Linked DNA regions of Struthio camelus. The protein of the gene in region 2 purifies or fractionates together with the protein of the main gene of each other region. This does not show direct contact. Links are inferred from orthologs where the notes say so. Each region holds a gene or a part of one and is shown on either strand. Other genes may lie near its edges.

Region 1 (10,779 bases), on a different chromosome or scaffold from region 2:
GGAAAATAATTGCGTTACACAATTCATGAGTAGGGTCTCTCAAGTAGGGAATGGGTTAGACTGTTGGTATTGCCTATTCCACCCTCAATCCCTGGACACCGATTTTGGTTGGCTAGCAGAGCTTGTTTCCGGTTTAGCCTAGTATCAGTCGAATTTGACGTGTTTACTCCCTAGGGTTCCAGATTTTCAGCAGCAAACCTTTAAGGTACATTCATATGATAAAGCTCCATGGTATGTTAACGTGCCTCAGATGAACCTTTTGATTTAAGTAGGAGATAAAACTAACTGTAATTACACACTATGGTATAATTATACACAAACAAGGTTTCAGTTGGACTGTTCAAGTGCCGGCAATAATTCTGACGTAAAAACTTCATGGACTTATAAGAATAACTCAGTAATTTTAAATGACACTGAGCTAGAGAAACTGTGCACTTGGAACCTTACTTGGAGCATAAACGGTACAAACTGTCAAAGATATTATAATATTTCTTCTTCAAATGGCACATACATCTTGGGGACTAATGGTTGGTTTAGTTCTGATAAGAGCAATTGGACCATGTGCATTTGGAACTAAAGTAGCTGGTGTATAGGTGCAAACCCTTTTCGAATAATCTATTTAGGCAAATGGGAATTATCAAAATGTAAAAATACCACTGAGACTGATATTACCTCCTGCCCTACTAGGCACAGAAACAAGATTATCCCAGCAGGGAAACCTTCTATTTTGACATCTGGATGGTTCTGGCTATGTGGGACCAACGTCTACAAAAGTTTACCACCACAACGGGCCAGCACTTGTACCATGGGATGCCTAGCCCCTATGCCGATCGAGCAAAAAAAAATAACACTAAGCTTTTTGCACAATCACTATCCAATATATAGAAAAAGGGACACTTCTAACCCTATAGTGAAAAGACCTAAAAATGCCATCAATTCATGCATGTGCTGTTTCCAGGTCTAGGTGCGGTCGAGTTAGAAAAGGCTATTGTCAATATCTCTGTTACCCTTGAAATCATTTAAAACAGTACTGTAGAAGCCTTAAAAGATCTATAAAAAGAACTGAACTCTCTCTCTCAATTAGCTGTCCAAAATCAATGGGGTTTAGATTACATATTGGCCACACAGGAAGGAGTGTGTGTGCTGGTTGTTTTTATGTAAACAAATCAATACAAATTGAATATGATGTAAATGTTATTCAATAACATATACATACCTTCCATCAGGTAGCCCAAGAAGAGCTGTTGCTTAATGGCCTAGCAACAGACTGGTCATGGTTGTGGTCATGGCTACCAGATTTGGGAGTGTGGACATGACCTGTTTTAATAGTTTTGCTGTTAATTCTGGCAGTAGGAACTGTGCTTCTCTGTTGTGTCTACTGTATGGATCAAATATATTCAACCCGCTTCTCATATGAAAGGGGATATAAGTATAGACCAGCATAACATTTAAAGCAGGTATGCATGAAATAAAATGAGGGAGTGTTAAGGAATTTTCCACTATACTCTAGTTTTGCGGAAAGAACATGCAAGGTCATGCGCCCTGCAAGCAGAACATCTTATCTGACCTTGTCTTAGCCCTATTTTTTGTACAAAGTTGAAGAACCGCAAAGAAACTGGTTTAATCCAGCCGGTGGTACAGAAGTTGTTCAAAGGTAACACCAGAAGAGATGCAAAATCAGCTAATGAATAATAATAAGATAAACCATTTAAGGCTGCTGTGGAACTACCTCATACTGTAACATGGCAGCGGGATTGGTAGAACTAAGAGGCATGGATAGCTTTTATTGGTTGGGTAAATAAAGTATCGAATATGTAACAATTTACCTCAGCTTATAAGATGTAACAAAGAACTGCTCAGTGTCCTTCTTGTGCTCCCAGCTGAGAGGGACCTTGTTGCTAGCAATAAAAATTAGCAATCAAGAAATCTGACTCCTGCTGCTCATTACCAGTGCCTGTGAATGAAAAAGAGAATAGATAATATTTTATCATGGGGCATACTAATGCAGAGAACCATTATCAAAAAGAACTAAACTTCATTTTTTGGAGGATATTTGTTAATTTATTATGTTCAAAAAATTTCTAAATTAGCACTAGCCATCATATTCAGTTCTGAGATTCTTACAGGAGTTCAACCAGCTTTGCTTTATAGTTTTTTTTTTTTTTTAGATATGTGCTTCTAAACTGACATTAATTACTAAATTGGATGCTCAGTGCTGCTTACTTTTACATGTCTATGTACCTTAAGTAAAATGACGTGATGATAACCACCGGCTGGTTCTACTTCTTTACATTTGCAGATAGCCTCTTGGAGAAGAGCCAGTATGGCAATAAACTTGGTGAGATGCAGATTTAATTACTTGACTTTGTCATGATTCTCCTGTGTGACACGGAACTTTTATTTCAGTGTTTGTATTGTGGATAACTGCACTGTGAAGTATGAAAATGAAGGTCATATTCTGAGAGACATGATGGTCTATTCCTATTTTATTAAGTAGACAAGTTGGCACAGCACGATACAGAAGACAGGACACGCTGTCTTGTGTAAGTATGTCTCCCATGTTCGTCTTTTGAGTTGATCAGCTATAAGACAGCTTTGGTACGGATAATATTAATTTAGCAGCTGGGCCCAAGCTAATTTGCCTTCTGGGCTCAGTGTTGCAGAGTTAGGTTACCCCTGAAGCCCTTAGTATCCACTTGTGCAGACATGATTCCAGATTTAATCCTCCCACCTTACTCCCTGCACTAATGAGCGTCTAAAAATTGTATAATAGCATTCATTGGCTCAAACAGCAAAAAATCAGATCTCCTTCTTCCTAGGGGTTTGCTTACTCTTTCCAGACCATTGAATCTGTGTATTCACAATCTCAGTACGCGGGTAACTAACTGACCAGATCTACACGTGGTAAATGGAGGCTGTGAGGGCACAACACTGGCTTGCGAAGGAGCAAGAACGGCGTGAAACACCTGCTGCCTTGCCGACGTCAATCAGGTTACCTCAGCTAAGCGAAGACTGTGGTAACGCTGAGGGTGCACTGGAAAAGCACAGGACCCCGCCTCCGCTGCCCGGTTTGCGGGGGGCGCAAAGGCCGAGGGCTCACGGCCGGGCTCGCTCAGCGCCAGGCCGCGCCGCCCCAACGGCGCCTAACGGCTCCCCAACGGCTCCCGCGCGCCCCTCACCAGCCCGCCGGGCGGGACAGGGCGGGGCCAGGGTTGGCCCCGCCCCCCCGGCGAGGGTGCGCTCGCCGCTGCCTGGCGCTAATCCTGTCTTTCTTCTCCCGCTGCCCGGAAGTGAGGGAGGGAGCTTCCGGCGGCGGTTACTAGGGCAACCCGGTTGCCAGGGCAACGCGCTGGGCCTGCTGCCGCTGCCTCCGCCGCCACTGCCGCCGCTCTGAGGGAGAACCGCCGGGCCTTCCCCTTCCCGTCCGCGCTCACGGCGGGGCCTCCCGCTGCTCCGCCGGCCCTGCGCGATGTTCATCTACCTGAGCAAGAAGGTGCTGACGGGGGGCCGGGGGGCGTCGCGGGGGCCGGTGGAGCTCCCGCCGGGCGCTGCGGGGAGCCGCAGGGCTCGGCGCGGCCTGCGGGCGCTGGCGGGGCCGGGCCCGCTGCCGCCGGCCCCCGCCTCGGCCTGGCTCGCTCTCTCGGCTTCTGGGCTCTCGGTGGCCTTCTGCCGTCCCCTGAGAAACTGCCCCCCGGGCGCCGACCACGCGTGCGGAGACTCCGGACGCGGCTCTTCTGCGAGGGACCAGCTCGTGGCAAAGCCTGGCTTGGCAGTTTCTTCCCTCTCGCCTAACTCTTCTGCTCGGGACCCCTTCTCTGCATACGTTTAGAAATGCCCTCTTACTATTGTTTATTGCATATCTCGCATTTCCCTTTTCTGGAGCTTTGTGTTGCATCGTTTCGTTTGTGTTTATAATTGTAATCCTCTTCTGTCATTTTTTTGACTGTACTGATCTGTCAGCGTTAGAGATAAGTTTGTTGTTGCGTGTGCTGTCTTAGGTGTTTTTGAGGTGTTTTTGATTAGGGCATTTTAAATAAAACATGATTCTTACGGCTACGCAGAGATGTAAAATATTTTTTTTTCAGATTGCAATTCCTGGTAATGTTCGATTAAGATGTATTTCCTGGAATAAGGATCAAGGTTTCATAGCTTGTGGTGGAGAAGATGGGTTACTGAAAGTTTTGAAGTTAGAAGCGCAAACAGGTAAATGAGATTTTTGAAACAAAATCCACCACTTTGCAAAATTCTGAAAGTGCAGCTCTTTTCAGAAGTGACTTTACAGCACTGTATGTTTTGCATCTTTAGAGAGATGCTTGTGCATTTACATAAACAGCAAATATGCTATCACTTTCTTGTGAACATTGTTTTCCTTCAACTTGCCCTACATGTCGCTTGGCAAGCTTTTATATCTACTGAGGTCATCTTTGCTACATCTTCATGGCATTATGTTTCATTTTTGTTCTCTTCAGCATTTATTTTGGAGCTTATTTCATGATATCATGATTGTGTTTGAATGTTCTCTACTGTCTGCATTTAATTTAGAGAGAAATTTGTCTATTTTAGGAATATATTTGAAGAAAAGTGAAGTCTAATATATTTTCAAGTTTTTTTAACCTTTTATGAAAGTAAGCAAAGGGTGATGGCTATTATGATACTCTAAAAAGAGTATCTGAGTTTGGATGACAGATGTGATTAGCAAACATGTCTAGCTGAGAGATGGAAAATTCGTGCTGCAATTACACTTTTACATACTTTTAGGTGAATAGTTTTATTAATGTAAATAGTAGTTTTTAGCCACGCTATTGATACAGACACACTAATGTGTATCTTTAATTATATTAAAACTATTTTTTGTTATTTTTAGATGAAGCAAAACTAAAGGGACTTGCAGCTCCTAGCAATCTTTCTGTGAATCAGACTCTTGAAGGTCATAGTGGTAAGTCTCTTTGGGCATTTAATGTACTTTTGATTAACATAAAAATAGAAAAAGATTTCATGGCATTGATAGAGTAATTTTGTTATAACTTTTTGTTGTAAGGCTGAAATAAAGAGTATCAGTGGTAAAATCAGGTGTGTTACAGCTTGGCTATCTCCTGTTACAAAGTTACCTAATTAAAAGATCTGCAGTCAATTTTTCATGACCTGTGAGTGAATTACTGGGTTGAGAATTAAACTGATCCAGACTTTTGCTCTACTCACGGCCGCTGTGGAGCGCACGATGCAGAATGCGTGCTGCACAACCAGGCTGCACTCTACCAGTTGCTGTTTAAGGTTTGCAGTCTGCTTATGAGTTTTTCTAGATAAGTCTGCTAAATTTGACGTTATAGCCTAATCTGTGTTTTCTATTACTTCTGGTTCGACTTTTTCCAAATCATTTTGTCTCCATTCATTATCCTGAAAATGAAGTATTGATTTAGTGTTGAAGTAGCTGATGCGATCATATTTACCTGTTATCAGCGAGTGACTTTTTAATTTTTTTTTCTTTTTTTTTAAGTCTTGCACTGTTGACTGCTACCATACTTGTTCTCTGACTTCAGTTCGATTAATCTGGAGGTGCTCATCAGTTGGGCTGATTATATTTTTATGTATTTACACATTCATGTTATGTTTGCTCACATACTATCTTGGTAGTTGGTAGATAAACAGTGCTTTACAGCAGAAGATAAGGGCTAGATTGTATGCTGGGCAGCTTGTGCTGGGTGAAATGAATGGCTGGAAGTGAAGACATGAAAGAGTATAGTGCTTGAACAGAGACCAGTTTGTATCTAGTACTGAACAGATGTTACAAGATGATTATTAGAAAAATTGAAGAGGATATTTCAAGTCCAGTATTTGAGTTTTTATGAGTTGGATCACATATCAGACCTGAGGGTCTGAAGAAACAGGGTGTAGAGTGCTCTTTTTGGTAATAAGGAGGGAGATTTTGTTTTAGAATTGCTGCAGTATTGATGATCAAGCTGTAAAAAAAGAAAAAAAAAAAAATCAGCTTCCTATGAGAGGAAGGTCTTGTCAGCTTTGCAGCCAGCACGCTTGAGATGGTCAGAAAGAGCAAAACTATAATTTGGGTTTTCTGTTCAGAAGCAATATTCTGGGTAGAATTGGAAGAGGATGTTACTCAAGTGGGTGAATACATGACCAAAAGAAACAGCTTAGTAGAAGCCTGAAAGAGGAAACAAGAGTGGTACAGAAAGAAGAGTGGCTAAAACTGAATCAAAGTCAGCAGGGCGAATTTCTGTAAAACCCAAAAAACTGAGCAGGGTGACTAAGTTGTATGTGATTGTATTAACTTGTTTGTTAAGTAGAAAAAACACAATTTATAAATTTTTCTAGGTTCTGTGCAAGTGGTGACATGGAATGAACAGTATCAAAAACTAACAACCAGTGATCAAAATGGGCTCATCATTGTGTGGATGCTGTATAAAGGTATTATATAGGACAAACTTGAAACTGGATAATGTTCTGGATAACGGAAATGTATTGTGAGAAATTTTTTTTAGCAGTTTTAACAACTCTTTCTCAGATTGTAAAACTCAAAATAAATCTAAAAGGTGTTCTAAGTTCTTGTTAAGATAACTGGCTAAATTTTTTCATAAAATATTCGTCCTCCAGAGATACCTTAAGAAAAGATGTCAATTCTTAGGCATGTGCATTGTAAACCACCACAAATTTTTCATTTTCGTATCTTTGCTGCTTTATTTCCTTGGAGGAAGGTAAGGTACAGAACAATAAAAAGAAGCAGCGCTTCATTGTGTAAGTTTGGTTTTGTGCATTATTGTACAATTTTAGTAGTTCTGCTGTGGGCATCAAACACAGACATATTGATAGAATTACTAGAACTTACGAATTCTGCTTAGACCAACAATCAAATACTTTCATAAATACAATCTTTAGAAATGTTTAATTAAGGCAGTGAACTCATACGCATAACCAATATGTTGCAGTGACTGACGCTTTTTTCTTGACATTTGCATGAACACATGTACTTTGCTACATTTAAACAAATTTAAAAGCCAGCAATCAGTCTCAGTCTAATTAACCACTTTCCAATGCAAACGGGGAAGATGAGGAACATTTGTGATTTTTATCTTGGGGACTTTTATTTTATATATATATATATATGTGTGTATATATGTATATATATAAAAATGCATAAATGGAAACAAGTGAAATGCCAGCTCATTTCCTCATTTCAGGCATAAAATATCATTTGATTAGTCTTTTTACCTGCAATTTGGCTGCTGTTACATGAAGCATCACCTTTAGTGATTATGTTTCTAGTGTGTTTTGTCAGTTTTAAAGTTATCTAAGCTGCAGATCTCTTTCTGAAGGGCCTGTCTCTCAGGCCTTGGCTCCCCTCTGTGATTTCCAGTTTGTCATTTTCTTTTTGGAAGTAGCACATATCTAAACACTGGATTTCAAGATGATAATGTGTGCATAGTCTGAAGGACACTATAGTATAGTCTTGCTAGAGTGTTACGGAAAGGGCAATACAACTTCCTCTTTCAGTTCTTTTTTCACAACCTTTCCTTTTTTGTTGTATATTACATTGTGAAGTCATGTATAACACATTATCTCATGTTTATTTATCAACAGACGTTTCACAGGTTACTCCATTTCAATGAATACCTAATTTGATTTCTTGATAGTTTTTATAAGCTTTTTGGGGTCTGTGGTATGTTTTATTTAAAAAAAAAAAAACTTTTGGAATTTATTATTTATAAATTTTATTATTGTATTTGCATAATTTTTGAACTGAGAATATCTTTGCTCTTTGAAATCAGTGATTAGCATATATCTAGAATTCGTTTAAAGAGTTATCAATTCAAAAGTATAACCCAGTTTTTCATTCTCTACTAATAGGTGCTTGGTATGAAGAGATGATTAACAATAGAAATAAATCTGTTGTTCGAAGTATGAGCTGGAATGCAGACGGACAAAAGATTTGCATTGTATATGAAGATGGAGCTGTGATTGTTGGATCAGTGGATGGTAAAGTTTAAGCTCTATTACCTATTATTGTGTTTTGTAGTTTTATGTAGCTTTTGTTTTCAGTATTATTTACTTTAGAAAAACAGAGCTACAATGTACCTGTAATTAACAGTTGCTTTATAAATTGTTACTTTGACTTTCTTTAGCTGTTTTAATCTTTATGTTGGTAATTTACATCCTATTTTTAAACTTATAGTATGTTTATTAAGTACAATGAACATTCTGTTACAGGCAATCGTATTTGGGGGAAAGATCTGAAAGGTACGCACCTATGCCATGTGACCTGGTCTGCTGACAGCAAAGTTTTACTCTTCGGAATGGCAAATGGAGAAATTCATATTTATGACAATCAGGGGAATTTTATTGTAAGTTCGTGGTCTGTATAGTAAAAGTATTAACTTTCATAAGCATAAAAAATTTATTTATTTTTATTCTTTGTTCATTTATTTGTTTGGTGGACTTCAGTACTGAGAACTGGACAAGGTCTGGTACATGAAGTTTTTATTCAAGATTTAAGCAGCTGCACCTTTTTTCGTACAAATTTTCAGTAAAATTGCAAACGCTTGTCTGTCTTGTTAGCTAAATGACTATTACTTCAATTAATGCATTTTTGCTTTGCAGTTGTTGTTGGAAAGGAAAAAACATGTATGGTGGTCCTGGCCAAATTAATTGAAGCTCCTGTTAAAAGTATTAGTGTATGTCTAGAATAAAGTGGTAGTCTATTTTCTTGTTGCTCCTGTTATTATTTATTAAGTAGGGAATATTGTATGCCTCAGAGAAAGCCTAGCAGTGTTTGCTGAAAATGAAAGAGAATAACTATAATGTTGCTACATTCCTACAAGTTCTGTTTATTTACTTATTTTGCACTCCTAGTTGTTTGGAATACTGGAATAACTATAACAAAATGCTACACAAAAATAAAACATTGACTTTCAAAAGAATAACAGATTTAGAACGACACTCCGCATCTTATATCCCTATTATTGTATATTTCCTTCCTTTCTTTTTCCCTCCTTAAGAGTGAAAAATCTGATATACTTTCAATATTCTTTTCTTTAACCCCACACTGTTTCCCTCCCTCCTGCTGTGTAAGTCATGATATTTCTAGCATTTGCTGCAAATTACTTAGATTCCTTAAATAAGCTGTCGTCTTTTTTTTTCCTGCCCTCGTTTCCCAATAATATAAGCTCTCTCATTATCATACGTTACCTGGTATTCCTCCTGGAAATGACTCAGGTACACTCTTTTCTTTCAGAAAATGCTCTTACTGATGCTACCAGATGTAAAGAGCTAGTTCTTAGGAAAGTAAACTTACCTTAATGGGTGTTCTGGTTTGGATGATTGTAGTCCCAATTACTTTTATACATTACTTGAATAGACTTATTTGAAAAATCTTGAGGCCAGAAATGTTTTGAAATTAAAGTTGTTTTCCTTTCTGTTGTTTTGTAAAGCTCAAGTGTAGGTTTCTTTGTGTGCTTTTTTTCCCCTAGAGTTACTTTAAATGATCTTGCATTTCAGAGAATAAAAAAAATGCCAACATTAAAATACTTTTTTGAAATTGAAACATATGTTTTCATATACCTCATCCAGCTTTGGATAAGGAATTTTTAAAATCTTAAAAAAAATTTGAGAATATGAACGTTTTTTCTTTGGACAGAAAAAAATTTTGCACACATGTCTGCTTTTTGGGTGGGGGGGGGGGGGGACAAGGTGTCAGTATAGATAAAAATTGTTCCTCTAAATAGCATGTTGTAAATGAGTTTACATAGCTAACCATTCTTGTTTAGGTGAAAATGAAACTGAGTTGTTTGGTGAACCTAACTGGGGCATTCAGTATTGCTGGAATACACTGGTATCATGGTACAGAAGGCTACATTGAACCGGGTTGTCCTTGTCTTGCTGTCTGTTATGACAATGGAAGATGCCAGATAATGAGAGATGAGAATGACCAGAGTAGGTACAAAATTTAAGTTACTTATAGTTGACCTATTCTTGACCCAAAACTTCATATGTTTAATTCTTAATGTTTATTTCTTAAAAACTAGATCCTGTTTTGATTGACACTGGTATGAATGTAGTATGTATTCAGTGGAACCACTGTGGAAGTGTATTGGCGGTGGCAGGCTCCCTAAAAGCAACTTCTCAAGATAAAGATGTAAATATTGTGCAGTTCTATACTCCATTTGGCGAGGTAAAAATATGTAATGTACTTATTACACAACCTAAATTGTGCTTTATCTTATTTGGCATATTTTGTCTAGGTAGTCGTTACTCATGGATTTGGATGCCAGTATATAGATTTTCAGTGCATTTGTGATGCTCTAAGGTATCCAGGATATCCATGTGGATCTGGAAAGCTTACGAAGGGTCTATGGGCCCGTACTCTTCTAGAACAGCAAATTCCAGCTGGAAAATCCTAGGGCATCTCACGTAATACTAGAGGAGGGAGATATGTATGCCTAACTTTGAGCAGCTAACTTAGGCAGCAGTTAAGGTGCTAACTTAATGTGTATGCTAAATCTGGAAGTAACCTGTCTTTCTGCACTGGCTGTATAAAAGACCAAGATGCATCAAGATGAGGAGCTTAAAATAGGGCAGTGAATGCTCCCCTTTATTTTTATGGAAACATTTAAGCTGAGAAAATGGCATCTGTTGTCATTAAGGGGGTGGCCCAGCAACATTGGAAGAATCAGAAGATTTCTAATCTTCAGCTGTTTGTTGGAAATATTGTTTTGTAAATGCCTTTTGTACTTCTTGTCTCATTTATAAGGTGTTAGATGTTCACCAGCC
Region 2 (10,779 bases):
GAGAGGACAAAGAAAATACCTGGCAGGTACACTCATTTGAGAGTTCATAGCTGATGATTCCCAATGATCCTGGAATTGACAGGGAAGATACAAATCCATGGTGTAACTTGAGGAAGGTCTTCTCAGCTCTGAACCACCAACACAACTGCAGAATGCTATGCTTCCAAAAACAAGTATTCATTTTTTGTTTAAATCCAGCTAAAACTTGGGTTTCAGATAGGGAAAATAAAGGACACCTTTAATGCATAAGCAGAATACCAGCTTTCTATTTAGTCATCTCAACTATATGATCCAAATTCCAAAGGCTGTTCATTTACAGAAGCTGCTCTATGCCAGGTAACATAAAGGTATTATGAAATAGACTAGGGAAAGAGAAGAGCAAGATCCACCAGGGGCTTAGAATCTTGACTCCTCTGATTGCCACTTTGTGAATTATTAAACCTTGTCTCTGTCACTTTTGCCGACATCGTACCCCATTACACCACGAAACCAGTGAAATACAAAGCAATTGCTAGTCTATTCTCTGCTAGGAACTAGTTTCCACCTCAAACTAGCTGACTAAGCAAAATTTAGCTGCTAGATTTCAACTTTTATTTTAACCTGAAATTTCTCATAAGAAACATTAAATGGGAAAGGAGCGCAGGTTAACATGCATGACAACACAGACTTATATAACAGTATCATAAGATGTTAAAGTTCAATATACAGAACATATTTTAAACAACACTAGGGGTAAGGATAAATATTCTTGTGGCAGTCTAAGACAACAGATTTGGGCATATCAGCAAATGCACTTACAAGAGTATTCCATGATCCAACTACAACACAGTCAACGATTCTACTGTGCCCTAGTGACAAAACAAGAGCCTAGAGGTATCCCAGTGTGAATCTGTTGCAAAAAGTTTTCACACACGCACGCACACACACACAGAGTCATAATTCTCTTGTAACCAGGGCACTTGTCCCTTCTACATGCCATATCTGCATTTTTTTTTAAGCAGCTGTTGGAGCAGAGAAAAATAGTGGTTGTCTCTATAAAGATGGGTCATCAGTGATCAGCAAATGGGTCATCAGTAAAATATTAGAGGGTAGGGGGAGGATGGCAGAAGAACTATTCAAGTAACCTTCAACTTTAAGAAGACTCGTTCACTGTTTCAACAATTACAGTTAGCAATTGCATTTCAAGATGTACCTGGAAATTTTAGTGACTGGTATACAGTTCTGCTGCTACTTCCTCTCTCTTGCCAGTGTTGTCTACATCACAGGGAAATGAAGTGATTCCTTCTTCATTCACTCTGACTACAGTGGCATCAAATTTCAGCCACAAAACATTTTCTATTATTTCTAAAATGTACTCCTAGGAGCACAGCTAAACCACATTTGTAAACGTTTACAAATCCATCTCAGTTTGGACAGATTTCTTGGTGATATTGTTCAGACTTGAAAGGGATGGGACAAATGAGATAGTAAGCCAGTTCTCCTTTTATCTAAGGATAAGATTTGCAGAATTATACATTCTGGAATTTACAAAATAGTTCTTGTTAACTGAAAAAAGTCATTCATATCCAAATAAAAATACCTCAAAGACTAACAGAGATGTTGACAGACTTTTAAAAGGAAATTGATCTCATCTGGATTACAAGTATAGCTAAACTCATTAGCAAATCAGTTGTTCTTTTTTTCTCCTCCCCTGCCAATAATAGTTTAGGTGCACCTGTGCAAAACAGTCAACCCTAGCAGACCAAGATTCTTGATATCCCCTCAGCAATGCTAAGGTTTTTCAAACATGGCAAGGGTTTTTGGCTGAGCATCAATATATGAAATGATTTTTGAACCTTTTTAAGTCCATGGACTCCTAACCATTTTCAAATGGAACTAACTGACCAGTAGGTCCTTTTCTTCATTAACTTATGTAGACATTGAGGAGATATCCTAGAGCTCCTGAGTTCACAAACTGAACACTACTAACTCATGCATGCGTGGTCACTGAAGGAGCATCCCAGTTATGGAAGCCACCATTTTAGCTAGCGCCTATGTTTTGTAGTTTCCATAAAATGATGTTCTTTATACCTAACACTCTCAAGTCAGAAGCTGAAGCATATTTGGAAGACAGCCTGTGGGAAGCTTGAAATATTGCTTTATACTGCATAAGTACTGTGCAAAAAGGTGAAGTCCATCAGTCTACCAAGATTCTCAGATACATACTACCATAATCCAAATTCCTGTCTTAATATTTTAAAATACTACAAGGTTTTTAGAAACATTCAGATAAACTCATTCTATGTTATTGAACATAAACTATTTTTCATTTCATGTTAAGCCTCAGCATGGACTTTCACAAACAAAGAAGGAAGGTTTATCACTTGGCAAAATCATGAAACAGCACTATGAATCTTAGCATTTTCTAAAGCATTAAGACAGTTGTGCTATGTCTAACTGCAAGCCAATCAAACTTTAAAATGAACTCAAACATTTTCAATTATGGCCATCTTAAATGGAAGGTAGCACTGGCAGACAAGCCGCAAGTTAACACAATACCACGGTTTTAAGGGACAACACCTTTCAGGTGATGCCTAAAGCCAAGATCCAAGGTGCTTAATCATCATCAAGTATCCCACGGCACATTTACAAAACTACAGGCTTTTATTTTCTGCTTACTGCCTTCACCACCGTCCACCAGGAATAAAGTATTCTTTATTTCCTACTTTAAGTTTTAACATACAGCTCTAGAATTAAAGTATTTCACTTCAGAAAAAAAGCTACAAATGTAGGCCAGCTGATTCTAACATATAGCTTAAAATACTTTTTTTTTTTTTTTTAATTCTTCAGAGTCTTTCTTCTATAAGGTCACATGTAATATCTTGATGGCTATTAACTGTCCAGTTATTACACACCATATTTACTTTTTCCTACACAAATCACTGTTTAGACAAGCAACAATTACTTTACCAATGAAGAGTTCTAACTAGTAAATTAACAATTTCTGGATAACTTTATTCCTTTCTTCTTAGGAAGGATACAATCTTTTGCCTTCCTGCAATATATTCTAGTACTGCTGAACATTCTGAGTCAGGTCACTCCTCAGAATAAGAGATTTTTAATAGATATTTAAGGCCTACATATCTTTATTTTGGCTCACATATTCTAGTTTTCCTACCTTACCATGGAGACTAAGAAAGTTGAGGAAGGGGACTGTTTGTTTAATAAATTTGGGGGGGGGGGGTGGGAAGTAGTCATAACATGAATTGGCACTGCTGTTAGGCTATTTTTATGAGGTTGCCATAAAAGTAAGCAAAAACAGTTTCTTAGGAGAAAGAAATTATACTGTTACAGTTGCTATTAGAAAAGAAAAGAACATATCCTCTGCCTTCAGCTCTCTCAAACATTAAAGTCTAAGATATCTATGCAATGAAATTTATCAGCATCTGCTCATCGCTCTGTTAAAATTGTTTCCAGAATTGCTACACAGACTTCAGTCTTTACAGTCTGCAGAAATAAGTCTTCTAATGTGTCACAGGGTATTTGGTGGCCCTAGAAGATTATGCAGTTCATACTAACTCTATTGCCTCTTTTCACCCTTCCAAATAAAATTTACAAGTGTATCTCACAAATAAATACACTGTTCTACTCCATATTTATCGTAGTTTAGCTGTTTAAAATTTCTTCAAGTTCCTGCTTTTCCCCCATCCAAGCACTACAGGCATAAGACAGATTTTCCTCTTTGTTTGTACAGAGAGATTCTCACTTCAGGAATCATTTTAATTCTGCCAAAATCTGTTTTCACTGCCTGCCCTTAGCCTCACATTTACCTGTCAGATAATTTTGTTCTTGAGCTATTCAAACACCATAAGAATAATCCCCTTCCAAATGCTCTTCTCTGAACCTTACAGTTCTGTTTTTCCTATCATATCGGTTAAGATCCCCTCAGCTGTTCCCTCCTTTCCCTTACAATAGCGCACACAGAGCTACTGTATACCTGTAAACAGTACAGGAACAGAAGCGCAGAGTAACACTGCAAAAATGCTTCACAGCAACAACTAGAAACAAGCAAAGCAGATCAAGACTCCACAAAACCCATTTAATCTACAAGTATTTAGATGATTCATAACCTGTATAGGATAGCGAGGTACATAAAATACAGCCAGGTTTTATTACAGTTTGTGTTAGCTGAAAGTGAATTTTATTGTGCTAACACTTCCACAACACCCAGTGTGAGTACAGTTACACTAGCAGGCAGGTACTTAAGGCTATTCTAGCAAGGCACTAGGCTACTCTAAGTGCCTTTCACCATTTACAATTGCCAATAGCTTTTACCTCGGTATGGTTACGGCAACGCAAACGCTATACCGTATCACTATCCTCAGGCCCCGCGGCAGATGCTAAACAACACGGCAACAAAGTACTCCGTAGCCGCAGGAACCACTCCTGAAGCGACTACGAAGCGGAGCACCCCGAACCGCAAGAGACTCCGCGTGCCTGCCGTGTGCCCGCCACTTCTGCTCCGGGCAGATCTCGCCGCCCTCGCGCGCGATGGCCGGTCCGAACTGGGAAGCGTCCGGCGACCCGCGGCGCCGTCCCGAGCCGCCGCCCCCGGCCGGGCTCCCGCGCCGCCCGCCCACCTCATCCCTCCCTCGCTCGCTCGCTCGCTCTCCCGCCCACCAGGGCCTAGCTCACCTGCCCCCGCCGGGTGCGCCGCGGCCCCTCGCGCGCTCCATCCTCGGCCCCACCGTTGCTATGGGACCCCGGTGGCTCGCGCCCAGCCCCGGCCGCTACCATTGGCAACGGAACTCGGCACTGAAGCCCACCGCCATTGGCCGAAGGCGCAGCACTCGGCCCGCCCATTGGCCGTGGCGCCTCTCGGATGGGAGGGAGAACCGCACATGCGTAGTGCGAGGCGCCGCTCACTCCCTCCCCGGAGCGCGGCAGCCGGGCTGGGCCCCGCCCTCGCCGCCGTTCCGGGGGCTGAGTGCGGCGGGGCGGCGCCTTCCGTTGGCAGCGCTGGTACGGGAGCGCTGGGAGGGAAGAATGGCGCCGCTGTGGCGGCGGCCTCACGGGGAACAGCATTAATCCTGCCCTGCACCTCCCTCGTGGCCTCAGAACACTCTGTTGTCGCTTCTCCTGTCGCAATTGGGTACTGGGCCCTTCTGCACATCATCACCCCTGGGTGCAGAAAGCAGCTTTTGCAAGAAGGTATGTAGACTAGAAAGCTGCTATGGAGGCATCCCATTCTCAAAGGAAATCTAGCCAAAAAAAAATTTTAAAAAAAATCACAACAGAAAAAACTCACATCCTAAGAGCGTTTCTCAGTAGGGCCAGCAAACCATAGTATGGGTTTTTGCTTAAGTTACCAGCTTTGTCTGTCCTTGAAAATACCATTTTCTATTTACATTTGTCTTTGCACATAACTAAATTATTACTCCCACCAAGTCTGAAGTCACCTTGGCCTCTCTTAGAGAGGTCAGGACTGATTCATCTTCACAACTATGTCACCAGCACTCAGCCTTCCTCTCTCCCTCAGGTATTTCATTATATGAGGCCGCTGTCTCCAAGTTACCTTTACTCCATACTCATGCTCTGGAGTGTCTGTAACCAGTACTGCTGCTGAGTCCCCCCTCCCAGGGGTATCAATACTGGGTGCCAACGTTTCATGTGCAGTCCAGGCATGGCTACTAGTTTGTGGCAAAGTGCTGCTGCATCTCCAGTTCCTCAGAGAAGGCAGATGTGGAATCTGTATATCTGAGGAACTAGAGACTTCTGGTTCTACAGGCTGAGACACAGCTAATGAAGATATTTCTCTACAGTTTTTAGGATTATCCACTTGGATGTTGGCTTTTGCTGCTGTCCTTTTCTTGGGCTGCCTATGAGAGAGTTGTGTGTTCTTCCTTGGATGATCCAGACAATCTGAGGAGTGGACTGCATGTCCTTCTGAAGTCTCAAAAGTTAAAGGAGGAAACTTGCAGGCTATAGCTTTTCGACAAGCACCTCCTGCATGAAGTGAACTGTGGTTGGCATCCCGATTCTGGGCTCTGTGAGGACCACCATGTTTCTTCTGACATCCTTTCAAGCTTCCTAGGTCAGATGTTTCAAACTGTGGGCACACCTAAAGGGCAAGACAGATGAAAGATTAATTTTCTTCAGACAAAGGAATGCCAACCTTTTCTCCAGACAAAGGAATGCCAACCCCATTCTACTTCCCCCCCTTCCATCTTTCTTCCGTGTTTTCATTAAGTGGGTAATCAGGTCTGCAGCAAAGAAAAAAAAAAAAAAATCAGTCATTGATCAAGTTGGTAAACAGGGGACCCTGTTGAACTTTGAAACTATGTTCTGCCACTCTTCTCTAAGAGGAGAGTGTGGTTTAAGTGAGCTGCTGCCTATAACTTAAATCCCAAGTCTTGTGTATTTAATAAGTAGTCTAATTGACATCTACTCCTTTAACCCTTGCAGATTTAGAACAGTTTGGAGCTGGATCCTGTTTCTTTCTGTATTAGCATAACCCTGAATAAATTCAACAAATTACAGCCCAGTCTCCCTAAACAGGTTCAGGTTCAACAGACATCCATATGTGTAAGATCATTTCAAGTAAAGGATGCCCACTTAGAAGTATGAAATGACTGCAGTTATCTGTGGCTTTCTGATGATGTGTTACTCTAGAATACAGAGATTAACTACATTTTATGAAGTAAAGATGTTTTGGGGGAGTATTTTGAAAGCTTTATTAACGTAACCTAAGGTGAAGAAACCAAGTGGGCATCCAGCATCAGTGTTTTATAGAAGACAGTCAAAGCTCAACAATCTAAATTTCTGTGAAAGATTCCAGACTATTACCCAAAAGCTGGAAACCCTTCTCTTAAAGTATTCTTTTATCTTCCTAGGTCTCAACAGAAAGGGTCAGGTTCAGCGTTCTGCACTCTGCTTTCCCCTAGAGGACGTGGAGCTCAGAATAGCCTAGAATCTAGCTACCACAACTAGAGTACCCTTTCAGTATGTTGAAGTTACTGCAATCTCTCAAAAACTAAGTGCTACTGTGTAATTTATATTAAGGGTTGTGATTGTCTATTGTACTTCTGTACTGCTTGAGTGCAAAGTCATTGCGTAGCAGAATAGAGTAATGATCCCCAGATAATTATATCCTGGCACACAACTTACAAGAACACTAATGAGCTACTAACCTTGAGATGTGACTTCCTGGCTTAGAGAACATGCAAGTTATGTTTTACCAGGAGAGGAGCCTAGCAGTCAAAAGCTTATGAAAGTCTTAATATACCCTCCAGATGAGCAGAAAATCTCAGTTGCCACTGAGACAAGTTCAAAGAAGATCTGCAGAGGATGCTTCAGGAAGTTGCAAACCTACCAGCATTCTCAAATGGAATAACATCTAGTAGTTTCGGTGCTGTTGGCTTCAAATACATTTTAGAATCATTGTACATTTAGAATTGAAGTACTAAGAGTGAGTGAGTGAATCATCTTCACCACATATGTTTATATATGTAGAAATAAAATTAAAAAGGAAAAAACTGAACATGTTCTGCTCTGAAGTTAAGACACCACAAAAATAATTCTAGGTCCCCAGGGCCAGAGGAATGTCTCTCATGGGTTTGAAACCATGCTTCTTGGAGCTGCTTTGTATAGAGCTTAGAGATCCAAGTAACAATAATAGAGCTGCCCAAAGCTATAGCTGTTGTTGCATGGGAACAGTGTCCATTTTTGCAGCAGCTGTTTGCTTAAAACTCTTCACATTACACAATATAATATAAAGCGTGTATTAGGACGGTGCAAGCAATCCCTGGAATATTCTGTCAAACCAGAAAAGGAACCCATTAGAATGGCTTGTTTGGAGAGAAACTGTTCAAAACACACAGAATGGAAAAAGACGACAAGTTAGGGAACGCAGACCTGCACTCCAGGATTATTTGTTCTAAATTTAGCATAGCACCAGAATACTTAAGCCTGATTTAAATGAAAAGCCTAGTACTTTAACATCTAACATTTAGAGGTCAGGAATTATGTCAAGCAGTTAGAAGGAGGTGGAGGGGAACAGCACCTTGGAATAATGTTTTATCATGTTCAGGATTTTCAGTTGCCATATAAAGCAGAAAGTATTCTCATGAAAGTTAGTCTTTTGGAAGACAATTAGTAATAGTTGATCGGTATACACTGTACAGTTTTATGCTTTCAAATAACCAAGACATCACTGGTTGTTTGTGACAAGAACATGAAGCAACTCAAAAAGCACTTATTTATGTTTTGGACAACTATAATGAATGCAGGTCCTTGCTATTGATTTTCAGTATCTGGGACAGATAGCTTGCCTTTTTTTTTTTTTTTTTTTTTTTTTTTTTTTGAGATATGCAAGAGAATCTTGAAAACCATTTTGGCAGGACACAAAGGGAAAGATAATCTATACCAACCCAGGCAGGAGAGGTGTTTTGGTCTATAGGTTTGGTAGGAACACGTCTTGGATTCTCAGCCAAAGGTAGTGGAGATTCATAGGAATGGATAGGTCCCTCTTGCGGCCTCTCAAGGAATACCAGCTCTGCTTTCCTGGCCTTGTGGGTACATTTCTTCTTTGGAGGCATCAAGAGGTATAGTAAAACCACTTAGAAACCTCATGATGCTTGTTAGTATCAATTGGAGAAAGAGGAAGGCACCCCAAGAAGATGCTAAAGTGCTCTCAAATCTGTAGAAGGCAAATAAATGGATTTTAAGATAAGTTTGTCTGGAAACCTCAAATCTAATTTTTAACAGAAGTAAAGCCTTTATGCCACAGTACCATGTTCATATCTCTATGTAAACTCCACATTTACATCAGTAGATTTTAACCTTCTAGCTGATTTCATGTAGATTTAGCAAAAACACAATATGATAGATAATTAAAAGCCTTCCAGCTTTCTGGCTACCATGAAAGCAGGTAGCCAGATACAGTGGGAGAGCGAGACAGGCAAAAAACATAGGAATGCTCCAACTGCAAAAGGAATTCTAAACTGGCATTTTAAGCAAGACTTGGCATTATTGGGAAAATTAGTTTCTTATGGAAATATGCATTTTAGATACACAAATCAGATATCCTTATGTGAGTTTAAGGTTTTTCCTTCATTAAAAACTTTTGAAAGAAATTGATAAAGAAGGACATCAGGCCTGACTTAAACACTGAAATATAAGAACAACTGTATTCAGAACAGGCTTAGTCACTGAAATTTTAAGGAAATTCAAACCACTAAGCTGCTAGAAAAATAACAAACAAACATGAATGAATTTGTTGGACTACTGAACCAGCTCTCCAGAGGATTTAAAGAAATAATTTATTCACATAAGTATTCTATCCAGTTTAGTCATATCTGAAAAATGGTTTAGGAATTGAGAGTCCAAAAAATTTCTTTTCCTTTTTCAATTCATGAATAAAACTGCTTTGCAAGGCTGCAATCTACTAGTCTAAATTTAGGAAGGACCAGAAGCCTTTCCATTTCTAGTTGCTAGCTACCTCTATTTTTTCCATTTCAAGAATTTATTTTTTTTTTTTAACTCAGAACATAAATTGCTATTTCCCTGATGTATTCTACATATTTTGCATAGTTTTATTTACTTAGTGAAAAACTCTACATAGAATTTTAATTTGCATTCAAGAGCAGATTAGCACAGGTGAAGAAGTTTAAAGAGAACATTTTCTGAGAAATGCATTTTCTGATTAACGCATAAAAGGCTATACAACAACTTAATTCTTTAGCAGACTTTAGCAAAAGCTGTACATCCTCTTTAGTGGATTTCATACACTTCACTAACAAGGCAGTTTTAATATCTGTTGACCAACAAAACTCAGCTGCCCTTCACAAAGCACCCTTTAAGGCAAACTACTGAAGTCAGTGCTTTCTGTACAGCAGTAGGTACCAGGGCATCACACAGGGACTCACAGCCTCACAAGGACCTGATCAGGAAGAGTTTCCACCCATTCCCACGCCGGTTCCCCTTCAGACCCGCGCCGAGCACTGAGAAGGCTCCTCCAGCACCCGCTGAGCAACCATCCCGGGGGAGGGGAACCCCCACCATAGCGCCTCCATCCCGGGCCGCACCAAGAGCGAGGCCCGCCGCGGACGCAGACCCACCAACACGTAAAGCAGACACAACCACAACGCCCCGCGGACTCCCGGCACATCCGTATCCCCCGCCGCGACCGCCGATTGGCCCGCGGCGCCCCGCCCCTCGCAGGCCTGCATCTCATTGGGCCAGACTGGCACGTGATGCCAACGAGCCGCCAGGCGCCAAATTCAAACCGGGAAACGACCTGCGCCGCGAGCGGTAGCGGAGCCCGGAAGCGTCTGCGTTGCCTCTTCCCTCTACGTCTTCTTGGCTGGGAAGCTGGTGAGTGGCGATCTGTACCCAGCACCCATCGCGCCCCTCTGATATCTCCTCGTGCGGACTGGAGGTAGTGGCTGGGCACCCATGTGAGGGCTGTGTTAAGTGCTCAGGGTGCCTGGTGTGAGGGAAAGGCCTGGGCCTGGGCCTGGGCCTAGGCATGTCAGGGCGCTGGTGGAAGGGTTCTGGGGGAGGCAGCCCAGATTCACCAGTGAGTGTGGCAGGCTTGGCAGCACCCCACGGTCTGGGAGGGAAGGATGGGGGATGGAGAGGGCTGATCCTAGGGAGAAAAAAGAGCTGGGGATGTGTGTTTGGCCCTTTAGTGCTCCTCTCCTTACTGCCCCCATGGGCCTGTGCATACAACAGGGTTTCTCCAGGGCCTCTACTAGTAGCAGCTTGGGGCCTTTTTAGGAAATGACTTGCTTTTGTAGG

The links. Proteins that work in one complex are often made in the same cells at the same time.
Region 1: the proteins of TULP3 (region 2) and WDR35 purify together in Homo sapiens (affinity purification with mass spectrometry; 5 studies listed by BioGRID and IntAct, counting the BioPlex papers as one, with this or other methods). This does not show direct contact. The link is inferred for Struthio camelus from reciprocal best matches to the Homo sapiens genes TULP3 and WDR35.

What each region holds. Positions count from the first base shown.
Region 1 is NC_090944.1:18,656,980-18,667,758, forward strand, and holds the start of WDR35 (WD repeat-containing protein 35), read left to right. Parts: upstream 1-3,318; 5' UTR 3,319-3,469; coding exon 3,470-3,493; intron 3,494-4,085; coding exon 4,086-4,203; intron 4,204-4,864; coding exon 4,865-4,936; intron 4,937-6,330; coding exon 6,331-6,423; intron 6,424-7,860; coding exon 7,861-7,989; intron 7,990-8,220; coding exon 8,221-8,354; intron 8,355-9,776; coding exon 9,777-9,942; intron 9,943-10,034; coding exon 10,035-10,180; intron 10,181-10,779. UniProt on the Homo sapiens protein: As a component of the IFT complex A (IFT-A), a complex required for retrograde ciliary transport and entry into cilia of G protein-coupled receptors (GPCRs), it is involved in ciliogenesis and ciliary protein trafficking.
Region 2 is NC_090942.1:88,353,918-88,364,696, forward strand, and holds the start of TULP3 (tubby-related protein 3), read right to left. Parts: upstream 5,065-10,779; coding exon 4,675-5,064; intron 4,610-4,674; exon of another isoform or gene 4,315-4,609; intron 70-4,314; coding exon 20-69; intron 1-19. Other genes in the region: RHNO1 (RAD9, HUS1, RAD1-interacting nuclear orphan protein 1), read right to left, coding at 5,459-6,100, 8,409-8,576. UniProt on the Homo sapiens protein: Negative regulator of the Shh signaling transduction pathway: recruited to primary cilia via association with the IFT complex A (IFT-A) and is required for recruitment of G protein-coupled receptor GPR161 to cilia, a promoter of PKA-dependent basal repression machinery in Shh signaling.